Linked DNA regions of Lepisosteus oculatus. The protein of the gene in region 2 binds, or shares a complex with, the protein of the main gene of each other region. Links are inferred from orthologs where the notes say so. Each region holds a gene or a part of one and is shown on either strand. Other genes may lie near its edges.

Evidence for each region.
Region 1: nhp2 (region 2) and gar1 share a complex: the UniProt entries of both Homo sapiens proteins name them as parts of the H/ACA small nucleolar ribonucleoprotein (H/ACA snoRNP) complex. The link is inferred for Lepisosteus oculatus from reciprocal best matches to the Homo sapiens genes NHP2 and GAR1.

The regions. Positions count from the first base shown.
Region 1 is NC_090696.1:56,886,513-56,894,196, reverse strand, and holds the start of gar1 (H/ACA ribonucleoprotein complex subunit 1), read right to left. Parts: upstream 3,016-7,684; 5' UTR 2,914-3,015; exon of another isoform or gene 2,909-2,913; intron 1,090-2,908; 5' UTR 1,088-1,089; coding exon 928-1,087; intron 1-927. Other genes in the region: ragulator complex protein LAMTOR3, read left to right, coding at 6,443-6,564. UniProt on the Homo sapiens protein: Required for ribosome biogenesis and telomere maintenance. Part of the H/ACA small nucleolar ribonucleoprotein (H/ACA snoRNP) complex, which catalyzes pseudouridylation of rRNA.
Region 2 is NC_090706.1:29,618,590-29,625,749, reverse strand, and holds the start of nhp2 (H/ACA ribonucleoprotein complex subunit 2-like protein), read right to left. Parts: upstream 3,014-7,160; 5' UTR 2,889-3,013; coding exon 2,741-2,888; intron 2,293-2,740; coding exon 2,223-2,292; intron 1,295-2,222; coding exon 1,189-1,294; intron 1-1,188. Other genes in the region: bromodomain-containing protein 8, read right to left, coding at 4,513-4,547, 5,234-5,396, 7,073-7,117. UniProt on the Homo sapiens protein: Required for ribosome biogenesis and telomere maintenance. Part of the H/ACA small nucleolar ribonucleoprotein (H/ACA snoRNP) complex, which catalyzes pseudouridylation of rRNA.

The DNA of each region.
Region 1 (7,684 bases), on a different chromosome or scaffold from region 2:
TGTGAAAATATTAAAATGAACTAATTAAAATAATGAGGTATCCTGGAAGACTGGGATGCTACTATAAAGAACTAGAGCTATGTTAAACCAAAAAAAGCATGCATAAAAGCATGCCACTTATGACAGTAAATAGTATTTTTTTATAAGAGCTACAGGACAAGCTTAAAATAAGTAGCATGGTTGTCCATAAGCCATGTGGCAACTCTGAAATTATCAGGGCAGTTTTATCTGTATAATAAAAAATATACTGTGGTTGGGAAGGAAGTGCTGCTCAAAAAAGCCAACTGCAAAAACTCAATCATGCTTCTGCAAAAAAATAGCTTTTTCTTTTCTAATTTAATCCTACGAATTCCTATGGTTCACAGCTGCATACTTAAATTAAACCAGAAAAGAAATTAAGATAGCAATGCCCTTAAAACACGTCTACAAGACATTTTGACAAAGCAAATATTGACAATATGCATTGTGTTCTTCGATGTACCATAACAGAGTTGATATAATGTACCCAAGTGGTGTGTTATATTACTTTTTTTGACTGGTTTTAAAATGGTCCACATAGACTTCAGTTCTAAATGTTATAAGAAACGATAATATATGGAAGAAATACTTCATCCTTTTGTAAGACCAGCGGTCTTCATATTTCATATAATGTCAAAGCTAAGTGTAACTGTATTTTTTTGTTCCCAACCAAGCAAATACCTTTTTAAAAGAAAGCACCTAATTCATAAAGATTTTTATAAAAGGTGACATTCCTTCATTTTGTAACTCAATCTCTTAACATGTAATATTTACATTTCTACAACCGGGTCTGCCAAATTAATTATTTTGCTAGTTATCTTCAAAATAATAAACAGCGACTGTGTACATCTCAGTAAACCCTACACAGAATAATATTTAGGTCTACAGTCAACGATAAAGTTTCTTTACCAACAACATATTCTGGAGGTCCAAAATCTTGTCTGTTGAAGCCTCCTCGGCCACCACCTCGAAATCCTCCCCCACCGCCCCGGCCCCCAAAACCTCCTCGTCCACCTCGATTAAACCCCCCTCCTCTGCCGCCTCGGCCACCTCCTCCACGGAAAGACATTGCTAGAAGAAAACAGACAACAGTTCATGAGGAGTAAGGACTTTCTCCCACTGGCCTTTTGGTCAGTGTTGTATCTGCAACACAAAAAAACGTATTTTGCTCAAATATAAACAGCAGACGTCCAAAGAGCTGGGATGTATCCTGGTTTCTGTAGTATTGAAGGATACATCAGTAGTTAAGGAACAAAAGCTACAATCAAAACCGTACAGTCTCACATTTGCATACAGCAACATCGACATGATACATAAGTGTTATAATTATTCATCAGAGCATCATTTTTTATTTATTCAAAGCATGACAAGACATTTATTATATTATTTATGACATTCGGGCACTTAGATCATTTACTTACATTACTATACTAAACAGACCCACTTACTGCCATTTGAGCAACTCACAAAACATTTCTGATCCTCCTGTTTTGCACAAGAAAAAAAAAATTAAAGTGAAATTTAAGCCCTGGCCTCCTAAACGTCGACTGCAAAATGCAGTGTTCCATTAAGTTAAAAGAGTTTTGTGTTTTTTTAGAATGTGTGACCTAGATTTCGTGATCCCACCTTGGTTGACCATCTTGGCTCTTAAACGTTACTCCAACAATTAAATGCTTCAACAGGTAAAAGCATATTTTACCTCAATTTCCAATTGAGAACTACCAATTGTGAATAACTAGGAATGAGACAAACTTCCCTAAAACCTGTCTCTCTGCAGAGCAATCTGACGCAATGTGGTCTGCCTTATCCTACCGAAGAGTTAAAACTCATTAAAATCAAGGAGTTACTTTCTGCTTGAAAACCGAGACCGAGTTGATCAATTAATCCTAATCCTCCCCTGGAAGTGCTCAATCACCAATTCCACAATTATGTGAATCTTTCTTTTCTAAAGTTCCTTGTGGGAACGTCTTCTAACACTATTGAAAACAAAAACGGTTAATTAAATTTTAAAAACCTACAGCTATACTCCACCAGATTAGGGTATGATGCATAAGAGTATTAATAATATTCTTAATTAGTATAAAAAGTATAACATTAATTCATATTATGATGTGTCATTGAGAAAGTGGGCTGATAAGACAGCATTTTGGGTAAAACCAAATTACAACAGAATAAGATACAAAAAAAAACCCGTCTGATACTAGCTTGCTCGGCAAATTGAAACTTCATTGAAATGATTAATCTGACACAGTTTGACCAGCTTTTTGTAACAACCTCATATCCTGACTGCAGTTTTTTTTTATATAAATGGGTACTAGTACCAGAATTGACTTTCACTTAATAATACATAAATGAAAGAAAACAGTACTACTCCCTTTTAGCTCAACTACTGTTCATGCTTCGCATGAATTTTGGATTCGCGGGGGAAAAAAATTAGAATCGGGTGAGATCGCAACAAAACTTACACTTTAGCTTTCAGTGGACAAAGCACATGTTCCAAAATGGTAATGAATAAGATGGAGCCACTTTATTATGCCACACTGAACTGAAGTGCGTTGCTCATTGAAATTAATCGACATTACTTTTTTCACGACGTTCACTTTGAAACCATGCATAAATATCTCCTTTAATTTAGGGGGAAGTGATGAAGACAAAAATGCCGATTAACTCTTAATATGTGATTGAACCAAAGCATACAATTATTTATGTAGAAATTAACGTAGGTATGAATTGTGAAGTAATTAAACTATAACCAAACTGTTCAGTTTTAGGTACTCCCCAAAGCAAACTGACTCATAAAATAGTTTGGAAAACTTCCTGGACTTTAACTAGACTATAAAGCATGACCCAATAAAAAATCATAAGCACATCTTAAAAAAAAAACATTTACCTCACCTTTATCTGAAATACCGCCTGCTCCCAAAATGCCCAATATGTTCTTTACACCACCACGCCGCGCTGATTTCCTACAACCACACGTGGCCTTTACCGTAAGTCAGTTGTAACCACAAGGATTCACACTGTCGTAAAATGCTTGTAATGCAAATAATCAGGAAATCCTATTTTGATGATCAAGCTCATAGTCACAGATACTGGAATCATTACAGCGTATTTGTCAAAACCTTAATCCTCAGTTGTTTATCTTTAGTTATAAACTAGATGTTCTTTTCATGTAACTCATAAGTATTTCACTTCTAATGATCTCTGTGATTTGCTGTACCGCTACTTGTAAAGCGCCCTGAGTGGAGTTTCCAGGAAAGCACTAAATAAGTGTGTAAGCAATTATTATTATTATTATTATTATTATTATTATTATTATTAAAAGGGTAACTGCAGGTAACAATGCTGGTTTAGTTGAGACCTTTATAACCATGTTTCCTGTTTCTTTTGTTTTTATATGTGAGGTGTACTGTAAAATTCCCATTTTATTTAATTCAGTATACTTTATAAATGTAGAAAAAACTAAAACAAGAATGCTCACATTTATGGGGAGGCACGGTACGATAGGAAACTCTTTACGTTTGTGACAGCGGAAGCTGTCAATTGTTGAAAGGTCAATTGTTAAAATACTTCCGTTTCTGTGTAAATATCATGTGATTTATTTCATTTTCTACAAACCTTCCGTAAAAATCTAGCAGAAGCAGGTAATATCGTCTTATTTTGCATTATAAGTCCAATTAGAGTATTCTGCCTTTGAACAGGTTATCGTATTTTTTTTCTTTTTTAAAAGGAATCATAGACACATTGTCTTTTCGTTTCCTTTTTATTTGGTTCAGCCGCTGAGGTCTCAGTTTGAAATTAATTTGTAGTAGAAATTAAAAGTAGGAGATAGGTCATCTAGCTTAAAAAGGTGACATATAGTGCCTCTAAATTATCCTATACATTTATCTTGACACTGATTTTGATAAAACGTTTATTCCTATTTCTTTATTAATTAAGTGTACGTTTAATTAACATTATACATAATTAATAATAATTAAACGTAAATGTTAATGCTCGTTGTCTTTGACATTAGAAGGAGAAGTGCTATCTATTTTTTCGTTCGGTCCATTCTGAAGCCCTAAATATTTTCTACCTCCTTCTCCAATAATATCAGACATTAATTTACTACTCATAAATTATAATATTTTTATTTTAAAATAATACTTATTTGACAGAGGTATTCCCAATAAATATAATATATAGTCTTATTTATTCTGGCCACTGGAACTAGTGGCAATTAAGTTGTTTTAATCTACAGTATCAGAAACATTCACACTTCCGTCTAAAAATTATATTATTTGCTGAAAGACGATTTAGTTTGAACGAGTGTTAAATTTGATGTTGGTGTCAAATGTAACTAAACTATCACATTTGAAACATTAAGAGATGTAGATTACTGTTATTTAGATTTGCAGTTTTATACATTTACAGTTTTATACATTTCCTTTAATAAAACAGAGTTTCATGCAAAAAAACTGGAGTTAGAAACATTTCTTGAAAAAAGTATGACACTTTCCAGTCCTTGCTCTTGTCCTTTCATCACAACATCTGATTTTAGTTGTTTTACTTTCTAGGTTTTTAACTTCTAATAAAAACACAGAAAATGGCAGATGTAAGTATTTACTGTATAAATTGTCTAAAAAATGTTGTATGTTAATGTTAGCAAACTGCAGATCTTTTTTTTTTTCCGTTGCTGCAGGATGTTAATTGAGAGAAGACAAACCGTTACCAGTGAATGTTGGAAAACAAATCTGATACTAATGGATACATATTTTCAATTTCCACTGTTGCATGAATCTTATCATTATGTTTTTCATGCAGTTCCTAACTTTGGGTGTAGGAACTGTAAGTGCATACAGTTGTATACAAATTGTAGCCTGAACAATTACTGTGTAACTTAAGTTGGGTTTAAAATATAACACATATTAGGACAGTTTGAAATACAGCAAAAACAAATATTTCTAAAATCATTGCAAATTGTCCTAAATATACAATATTAAAAACTATTCACCCTACAGCAATTAATATTTCTTTCATTTGCCTTTGGTGCTGATAATAATAAAAAATCACTTCCTGTAACCTTTTAATTTGTTCTGACAATATTTAAGTTAGATTTCTTACTGTTCTTCCATGCAGAACTTCTCCATCTCCCCCAAATTATGCTTCCTGCTCTAGCAAAATGCTTTATGTAGTACATTCTGTAGTACATTTCATAAATATTCTGCTGTCTAGTCATATGGAGGTCGTGTTGGTCAATCAAAAGCGGGATTAACACTAGATAAGGAGGTGTGATTTGGGAGCTCTTCAGTAAATAGGTGAAAAGTTCATTTACAGTTTTTATTTTTAGACAGAAGAATTACAACATTATGTCTTGATCTTATCAGATTTCAGAAGCTAAGCAGGTCAGTGCTGTTAAGGGTGATGTCCAGAGAAATTCAGGTTGCTGTTGTAAGTTGGTGTTGTTGGTAGAAACAGTAGGTGGCACTCTTCCCTTTTTTTTCCAAATCCTGTTCTAATGCCCCAGTATACTCCATTTCTCCAATACTCCATAAGAACAATGTAATTTTCATTGTGAAGCACTGTGGGTATTGCACTTCAGTGGTAATTCAAACAGGTGCTTATCTATATGTAGAAAACTTTGGGATAAAAAATTACTCAAATGAAAGGAAGAAATTGCTGTATTACTCAGACTTCATCAAGATCACTTCTAGAATCTCTTTCCACATTTCAGCTTTGAGACACTTCCAGGTGACCACAAAGCAATGCAATATTACATTTCTGGCCATCATCTTTAACAAGTGTTCATATTTTCATTTATTTATGTATATGGAATGTACCCTTTCAGTATTTTTAAACCAGCTTTGTTACATTGTGTGAAGGGTATAAAAGTGCTGTCTGTAACCACAAACCTTCTCATAATGGGAATGCACTAGTAAACAGCAGATCCCTCCAACAGCTATATCTGATTGTTTTTCACAGGAGCTGAAGAGGTATCTGTATAAGCAGTTGCCAAGGTTTGAAAACTTTAATTTGTTTTTTGCTATAGAGAAATCTATATTTAAGATATATCTAAAAGATATTTAAGAATCACTAGTGATGAAAGAGTGGTACAACATAAATGTTAGGTGCATTTTCTATGCAGTAGGGTCTCAATATTTGTGAGGGTTTGGCGCAGAGAAAATAGCAGAATTGCCATATAAGCAAGACCACCTTTATACTGTTATATAGTGCACTATTGCATATAGTATGTATGGTTAACAGACATGTGTTATCCCTCCCCTTATATGATGATTAAAGTACTAATGCAGTAGCGTTAAGTTAATTAAAATAACTAACACAATTGTAATCACAAAAATTGTAGAGATCAGTTAGCTTAATTTCTCCTCTATGTTCAGCAGATACCTGCACTTTTTTCTCTCTGCTTGATTGATGACCCACTGTAATGAAAAAGGCAGCTCTCAGTGAGCCTGTAAGGTCATCTCCAGCCTGTCAATCCCCACACCATAAATTCAACCAAGATATACTTAATAAAATATTACCAAGATGTTACTATAAAAAAACAAGGTGAGATGTGGATGTTGGGTAGTGGGTACTTGGGCAGGGGGAAGAGAAACACTCTCACAATCCTTGTCTGTTTTGCAACTAGTTTGAAAGTTGTGCTTAATAACCTCCGCCTCAGTTCTCTTCTTTCGTTACAAGAACTCTACCCCCAGACCAAACTGTGAAGAAGTGAAATTGCAAATGTTATATTCAGAAGTATCTAGACCCTGCCGTACTTTATTGCTTAATCATGGTTAAGCAAAGTGAACTGCAACATGTTTTTAAAATGTTTACACCGTTTTTAGACATTTTGTTTTTGTGGACTGGACTTTAGTTATCTGTTACTACAGACAAACAAAGGATTGTTTCACCCCCCCCCCCCCCTTTTGCCATGAATCAAGCACTAAAATATCAGTTTCCTTTAGAGGTAATAGATAATAGGTTGGAGAGTGTTTCCCAATGTGAAAGAGAAGTAAATACTTGGGTGTCAAAACCTCCTGGAAAATATCTATGACAACAGAAAATTGCCTTGACAAAAACACTAAAAAAATAGCTCATGGTTTATGACGTTTCCCTATAAAAAGGTAAAACTGTGCCAAAATTAATTATAAAGTTCTGGCATTTAAACTTTGGCCTATATGAAAACAGCACTTCCCCTTCCATGTTAAATTACACTAACATTTTCGATTCCTCCAGGAATCAGAAAACAGAGTTTTTAATTAATGGCCTACAAGTAGTTTGATATTGAAGTTAATTCCTTATGAACAAAATGATTCAACCTTTGCTCCTGATCCTTGTGCTTTATGGCAAAATTCTACTTTGATATATGTTGCTAAAGTTTTCCAAGATGTTACATATGATTTCAAGTCAAGTCTATAGTTCTATTGTTCCCGCTTAAATGGTTTAGGTCAAAAGCTTACATCGGTGGCCATATATCATCCTGCAGCTCACAACTGACAACCCACTAAAGCTAAGCAGGTTTGAGCCTGGTCAGTTCCTAGATGAGAGACCTTGTGGGAAAAACAGTAGGAGGTGCTCTCCCTGCAGTTTGTGTGGGTCCTAATGCCCCAGTAGAGTGATGGGGACACTATACTTTAAAAAGGGCTCCATCCTTCAGTTGTGACGTAAAACCAGGGTCCTGACT
Region 2 (7,160 bases):
GGACTCCACAGGGACCGGAAGAGTCTAGAGCCCTGTGACTGGGCAGTGTCAGTGTACTGGACTCCACAGGGACCAGAAGAGTCTAGAGCCCTGTGACTGGGCAGTGTCAGTGTACTGGACTCCACAGGGACTGGAAGAGTCTAGAGCCCTGTGACTGGGCTGTGTCAGTGTACTGGACTCCACAGGGACTGGAAGAGTCTAGAGCCTGTGACTGGGCCGTGTCAGTGTACTGGACTCCACAGGGACTGGAAGAGTCTAGAGCCCTGTGACTGGGCTGTGTCAGTGTACTGGACTCCACAGGGACTAGAAGAGTCTAGAGCCCTGTGATTGGGCTGTGTCAGTGTACTGGACTCCACAGGGACTGGAAGAGTCTAGAGCCTGTGACTGGGCCGTGTCAGTGTACTGGACTCCACAGGGACCGGAAGAGTCTAGAGCCCTGTGACTGGGCAGTGTCAGTGTACTGGACTCCACAGGGACCAGAAGAGTCTAGAGCCCTGTGACTGGGCAGTGTCAGTGTACTGGACTCCACAGGGACTGGAAGAGTCTAGAGCCCTGACACAGCCCAGTCCCTGTGGAGTCCAGTACTGGGCTGTGTCAGTGTACTGGACTCCACAGGGACTGGAAGAGTCTAGAGCCTGTGACTGGGCCGTGTCAGTGTACTGGACTCCACAGGGACTGGAAGAGTCTAGAGCCCTGTGACTGGGCTGTGTCAGTGTACTGGACTCCACAGGGACTGGAAGAGTCTAGAGCCTGTGACTGGGCCGTGTCAGTGTACTGGACTCCACAGGGACTGGAAGAGTCTAGAGCCCTGTGACTGGGCTGCATCAGTGTACTGGACTCCACAGGGACTGGAAGAGTCTAGAGCCCTGTGACTGGGCTGCATCAGTGTACTGGACTCCACAGGGACTGGAAGAGTCTAGAGCCCTGTGACTGGGCTGCATCAGTGTGCTGGACTCCACAGGGACTGGAAGAGTCTAGAGCCCTGTGACTGGGCTGCATCAGTGTGCTGGACACCACAGGGACTGGAAGAGTCTAGAGCCCTGTGACTGGGCTGCATCAGTGTGCTGGACTCCACAGGGACTATCTGCAGCATTTAGTGTTGCCTTCAACACTAGAACCATGCAGATGTTACAATCTTGAGGACTGCGTTGAGGAGGGTGTAATGATGGCATAACGAGGGATTCTCACCACTTTAGAAGGGACGTAGGCGTAGGGCAGGCTGCGGTCCTCACACATGACAGGGATGTGACAGTACACATCGATAGGCAGTGTGTCCCCGGCCAACACCACAATCCTGCACAGTGACAAGAAGTCAGGAACACAGCATCACTCACTCTCCCCACACACACACAGCATCACCACAGTCCTGCTCAACAACACTCCCCACCTGACCCCCACACACAGCATCACCACAGTCCTGCACAACAACACTCCCCACCTGACCCCCACGCACAGCATCACCACAGTCCTGCACAACAACACTCCCCACCTGACCCCCACGCACAGCATCACCACAGTCCTGCTCAACAACACTCCCCACCTGACCCCCACACACAGCATCACCACAGTCCTGCACAACAACACTCCCCACCTGACCCCCACACACAGCATCACCACAGTCCTGCTCAACAACACTCCCCACCTGACCCCCACACACAGCATCACCACAGTCCTGCTCAACAACACTCCCCACCTGACCCCCACACACAGCATCACCACAGTCCTGCAACACCAAACACTCCCCACCTGACCCACACACACAGCATCACCACAGTCCTGCAACACCAAACACTCCCCACCTGACCCAGACACACAGCATCACCACAGTCCTGCACAACAACACTCCCCACCTGACCCCCACGCACAGCATCACCACAGTCCTGCACAACAACACTCCCCACCTGACCCAGACACACAGCATCACCACAGTCCTGCACAACAACACTCCCCACCTGACCCAGACACACAGCATCACCACAGTCCTGCTCAACAACACTCCCCACCTGACCCCCACACACAGCATCACCACAGTCCTGCTCAACAACACTCCCCACCTGACACCGACACACAGCATCACAACAGTCCTGCAACACCAAACACTCCCCACCTGACCCAGACACACAGCATCACCACAGTCCTGCACAACAACACTCCCCACCTGACCCACAGCAACACATTCGATTCAACCTGACACACTCACACCAAAGTCGCCTCTGACTTACCCCTTCTCCCCCTTGTTGATGAACTTCTGGACCTCCTTCACCCCTCTACGGATCTGCTTCTGCTTGGAGGCTGGGATAGAGTGAGAGAGTAAAAACTCTTGAATTACACAATTGTAGCTTCCGATCCTACTGGGAGAGGAAACTCAATAGAGCTGCAGCCCAGCGTGTGATCTCCTGTCACTCAATAATGCTCCATATTTAAATGTCTGTAAACGTGTTAGTTGTACGTGCTTTGGCATCACTGTAACTCATCGGCCCCGCCAATAAAGCTGTTTGAATGTAGGAGGAGTGAGACGGAGAAGAGTTGGGGAGGGAGAGAGAAAGGAGAAGGGATAGAAAAGCGAGCAAAATAACCAGTCTGCTCATTATCGCCAGTAGCCGTTCATTAGCACAGCTAATGAACAGCGCATTCACTCCGACGTGCACGGTACCCCGTCTCGGACCCCGGTGTCCGGCAGGCCCGGAGAGGGGCGTCCACACTCATGTTAGCAGCAGCAGCGAGGCGGCAGTGCTCCTACCCTTCTTGACGCACTTGTACAGTTTCTTCGTGAGCTTCCGAGACGCCAGCGGCTGGGCAATGGCGTTGATATTGGCGATGAGGTCCTGATACGTGTTCTCCGTGCTGCCGCTCTCCTCCTCCACCTTCTCCTTTTTCGCTTTGGTCATTTTTTAAAACAAATTCTGCTTATTCTGTTACTCGCGTGAATTGCGCCTGCAATGTTCAACCTTCTGGCTTTAGAGACGCGGTCTGCAGCCACAACACGTGTTGTTACTGGATCCTTGACGTCACTTCCCTTTCCTGCTTGATTTTTAACTCGCCATGTGGCCCGAGGGATACTCGCGCCCTCTGGTGCTACGGAGGAGTATTGAACACGAAACGGACTTTCTCGAGACGAACCGTTACATTCACTGAACAGCTTTTACCATAGCATTTTACAATTACATTTACAGTCCCTGAACAGCAGAACACGTTATGACAGGGGCTACAGTTCCAGTGCCCAGTCTTAGTACAGTGAACAGTTTTGTTACAATAGGAGCTATAGTCCCAGTGCAGTAGAACAGTCCTGTTACAATAGGGGCTACAGTCCAGTACAGTAGAACAGTCCCGTTACAATAGAGGCTACAGTCCCAGTACAGTAGAACAGTCCTGTTACAATAGGAGCTACAGTCCTAGTGAAGTAGAACAGTCCTGTTACAATAGGAGCTACAGTCCAGTACAGTAGAACAGTCCTGTTACAATAGGAGCTACAGTCCTAGTGAAGTAGAACAGTCCTGTTACAATAGGAGCTACAGTCCAGTACAGTAGAACAGTCCTGTTACAATAGGAGCTACAGTCCTAGTGAAGTAGAACAGTCCTGTTACAATAGGAGCTACAGTCCAGTACAGTAGAACAGTCCTGTTACAATAGGAGCTACAGTTGCAGTACAGTAGGACAGTCCTGTTACAATAGGAGCTACAGTCCCAGTGCAGTAGAACAGTCCTGTTACAATAGGAGCTACAGTCCCAGTGCAGTAGAACAGTCCTGTTACAATAGGCGCTACAGTCCCAGTACAGTAGAACAGTCCTGTTACAACAGGAGTACAGTAGAACAGTCCTGTTACAACAGGAGTACCAGATCCCAGCTCTCACATGGGACAGCTCAATCCACACAGGTCATATAGAAAGAACATTTTTAATATTTCTTTATTACAACATTCAGTAGTACATTAGCAAAAAAATGAAAATTGAAAATATGTACACAAGGGCAGTATGGTCTGTGCACACACTTGTGCCAACAGGACAAAATTCTCTGCACTCCTACAATCAAACAACAACAACAACAACACAACAGAGGGAGGAGACATCCCGGGACAAAGCGAGGGAGGGAGCAGGGAGACGTCCCGGGACAGAGCGAGGAGTGGAGGGAGTCAGTCAGGGAGGAGATGTCCCGGGACAGAGCGAGGAGTGGAGGGAGTCAGTCAGGGAGGAGATGTCCCGGGACAGAGCGAGGAGTGGAGGGAGTCAGTCAGGGAGATGTCCCGGGACAGAGTGAAGGAGCAAGGAGATGTCCCGGGACAGAGAGGAAGAAACAAAAATAAGTCACTTAAAAAACAAAGTGAAACAGGGAATTGGAGAGAAAACTGCATGTCCCAGTCGGGGCCCAGGCCAGAGGAGGAGAGCGAGAGGGGGGCAGCGAGACTGGCGTGAGGAGCGTTCTCCCCCAGAGCAACACTGTTCCAACGGCCCGCCGGCGCCCCTCCGCCTCTCTCTCCTCCCCGCCCACTCTCACTTCTTCATTTTCATGTCAGCTTCAATGGCACACCTCCGGCCCCTGGTTCCTCCGTCCTGAACAGGGCAGAGAAGAAGGAAATCTGAGCCTGCTGTCTGAAAGGCTTTGCCACCCTGCGGTGCACAAGGGCTGAAACAGTGACCAGCTGAAATTCACACGATTTCCGAGTCCCTCACACCCGGACCTAGACTGATTGACTGACACGCTGGCTTGTCAAGGAGTGTCAACACGCCACTTGCAGGGCTCTCTAAAACTTACTTGCATTATGTGCAGAGTCTGGCATTTAGCCTTGCCATGTGCAAGTGATCACACCACTCCTGTCCTGGAATCCCTGCACCGGCTTCCTGTCAGGTTTTGAACTGATTTCGAGATCCCTTTGCTTATATTCAAGGCTTCACATGCCTGGTCTCCCCCGGATCCATTCGTTCCCCTCCACCTGACCTTTGCTCAGCTGACTCGGGTTAACCGTGCGACCCCACCTTACGCGTCTCCACTCTGTGGGTGCAGGGCCTCGTGTCGCTGTACCCCAAAGCTGTGGAGCACCAACTCAAAAGAGACTAGAGACTCACATCAAGTGCTTTGAAGACAGGAAATGTTTTTGGAGTTGTTTTTTGTGACTGGTAATGTCCAAATTCCATAATAAGAAGAAGTTTAAAGCAGATGGCTTTTACAGGCCATACATGTACATAAGTATAAAGGTTTCCTATCCTAACTGACTGGCTCTCCAACTGGAGGTACATACCTCTCCTGCCCCTCTGTCTGTGCTGACCCTGTCCTGAAGACTGCTGCTGCCCTGCCTGCTGTCTGTCCCTCTTTCTGATCAAGGCAGAGCTCCTGCTCTGTCCCACCTCTACCCTGTCTTTCCACAGAGACGGATCTACTGACCCCCGTCTCTTCCAGGGACACTGACCCGGGTAAACAGAACACAAACAGGAGGGAAGGATGGTCAGGGAATGTTTGTCGATCTTCCTCTAATACCTACGCCATATGTACGCATAGCTGGATTACAGACTCTTACTGGAGACTCTGTACAGAGACACACAGCTGGAGTACAGACTCTTACTGGAGACTCTGTACAGAGACACACAGCTGGAGTACAGACTCTTACTGGAGACTCTGTACAGAGACACGCAGCTGAAGTACAGACTCTTACTAGAGACTCTGTACAGAGACACACAGCTGGAGTACAGACTCTTACTAGAGACTCTGTACAGAGACACACAGCTACAGTACAGACTCTTACTGGAGACTCTCTACTGAGACACACAGCTGGAGAGTCTATATGATATAGCATGGTAAGCTCTGTTCTGTAGCAGAGGAAGCTTTACTATGGTCACAGTGTCAGTATGATCTTCAAAAATGTTCACTTTGTTGCAGCCCCTCACAATCATAATTTCACAGCACACTGACAGCTGTAAAACTGTACTCTAAAATCACTGCATTCGGAAAACAACCTCACAGCACAAGACACTATCTGCTTGCATTTTCTATGACTCTGTATAAGTTTGTGTACAATGTAAACTGGTAATGTACGTAGGGCAGCTCTGTGTCGGGGTGATGGGCTCTGCGCCGCGCTGTGCGAGAGGGAAGGGCTCTGCGCCGCGCTGTGCGAGAGGGAAGGGCTCTGCGCCGCGCTGTGCGAGAGGGGAAGGGCTCTGCGGTGCGCTGTGCGAGAGGGAAGGGCTCTGCGCCGCGCTGTGCGAGAGGGAAGGGCTCTGCGCCGCGCTGTGCGAGAGGGAAGGGCTCTGCGCCGCGCTGTGCGAGAGGGGAAGGGCTCTGCGCCGCGCTGTGCGAGAGGGGAGGGCTCTGCGGTGCGCTGTGCGAGAGGGGAGGGCTCTGCGCCGCGCTGTGCGAGAGGGGAGGGCTCTGCGGCGCGCTGTGCGAGAGGGGAGGGCTCTGCGGTGCGCTGTGCGAGAGGGAAGGGCTCTGCGCCGCGCTGTGCGAGAGGGAAGGGCTCTGCGCCGCGCTGTGCGAGAGGGAAGGGCTCTGCGCCGCGCTGTGCGAGAGGGAAGGGCTCTGCGCTGCGCTGTTTTGGGGGCGATGGGCTCTGCGCCGCGCTGTTTTGGGGGCGATGGGCTCTGCGGCGCGCTGTGCGAGAGGGAAGGGCTCTGCGGCGCGCTGTGCGAGAGGGGAGGGCTCTGCGGTGCGCTGTGCGAGAGGGAAGGGCTCTGCGCCGCGCTGTGCGAGAGGGGAGGGCTCTGCGGCGCGCTGTGCGAGAGGGGAGGGCTCTGCGCTGCGCTGTTTTGGGGGCGATGGGCTCTGCGCCGCGCTGTTTTGGGGGCGATGGGCTCTGCGCCCTGCGCCGCGCTGTTTTGGGGGCGATGGGCTCTGCGCCGCGCTGTTTTGGGGGCGATGGGCTCTGCGCCGCGCTGTGCAAGAGGGAAGGGCTCTGCGCCCTGCTGTTTTGGGGGCGATGGGCTCTGCACCGCGCTGTTTTGGGGGCGATGGGCTCTGCGCCACGCTGTGCGAGAGGGAAGGGCTCTGCGCCGCGCTGTGCGAGAGGGAAGGGCTCTGCGCTGTGTTGTATCACACTGAAGGCTGCAGTCAGTACAATGGGCTGTGCATACAGAGTGATACTTACAAAGAGAGAGAGAAGGAAGGCAGGAGAGGCCATGGGCACACTGTCCTGTGAGAGGACAAACGACACAGTCAGAGCTGGAAATACACTG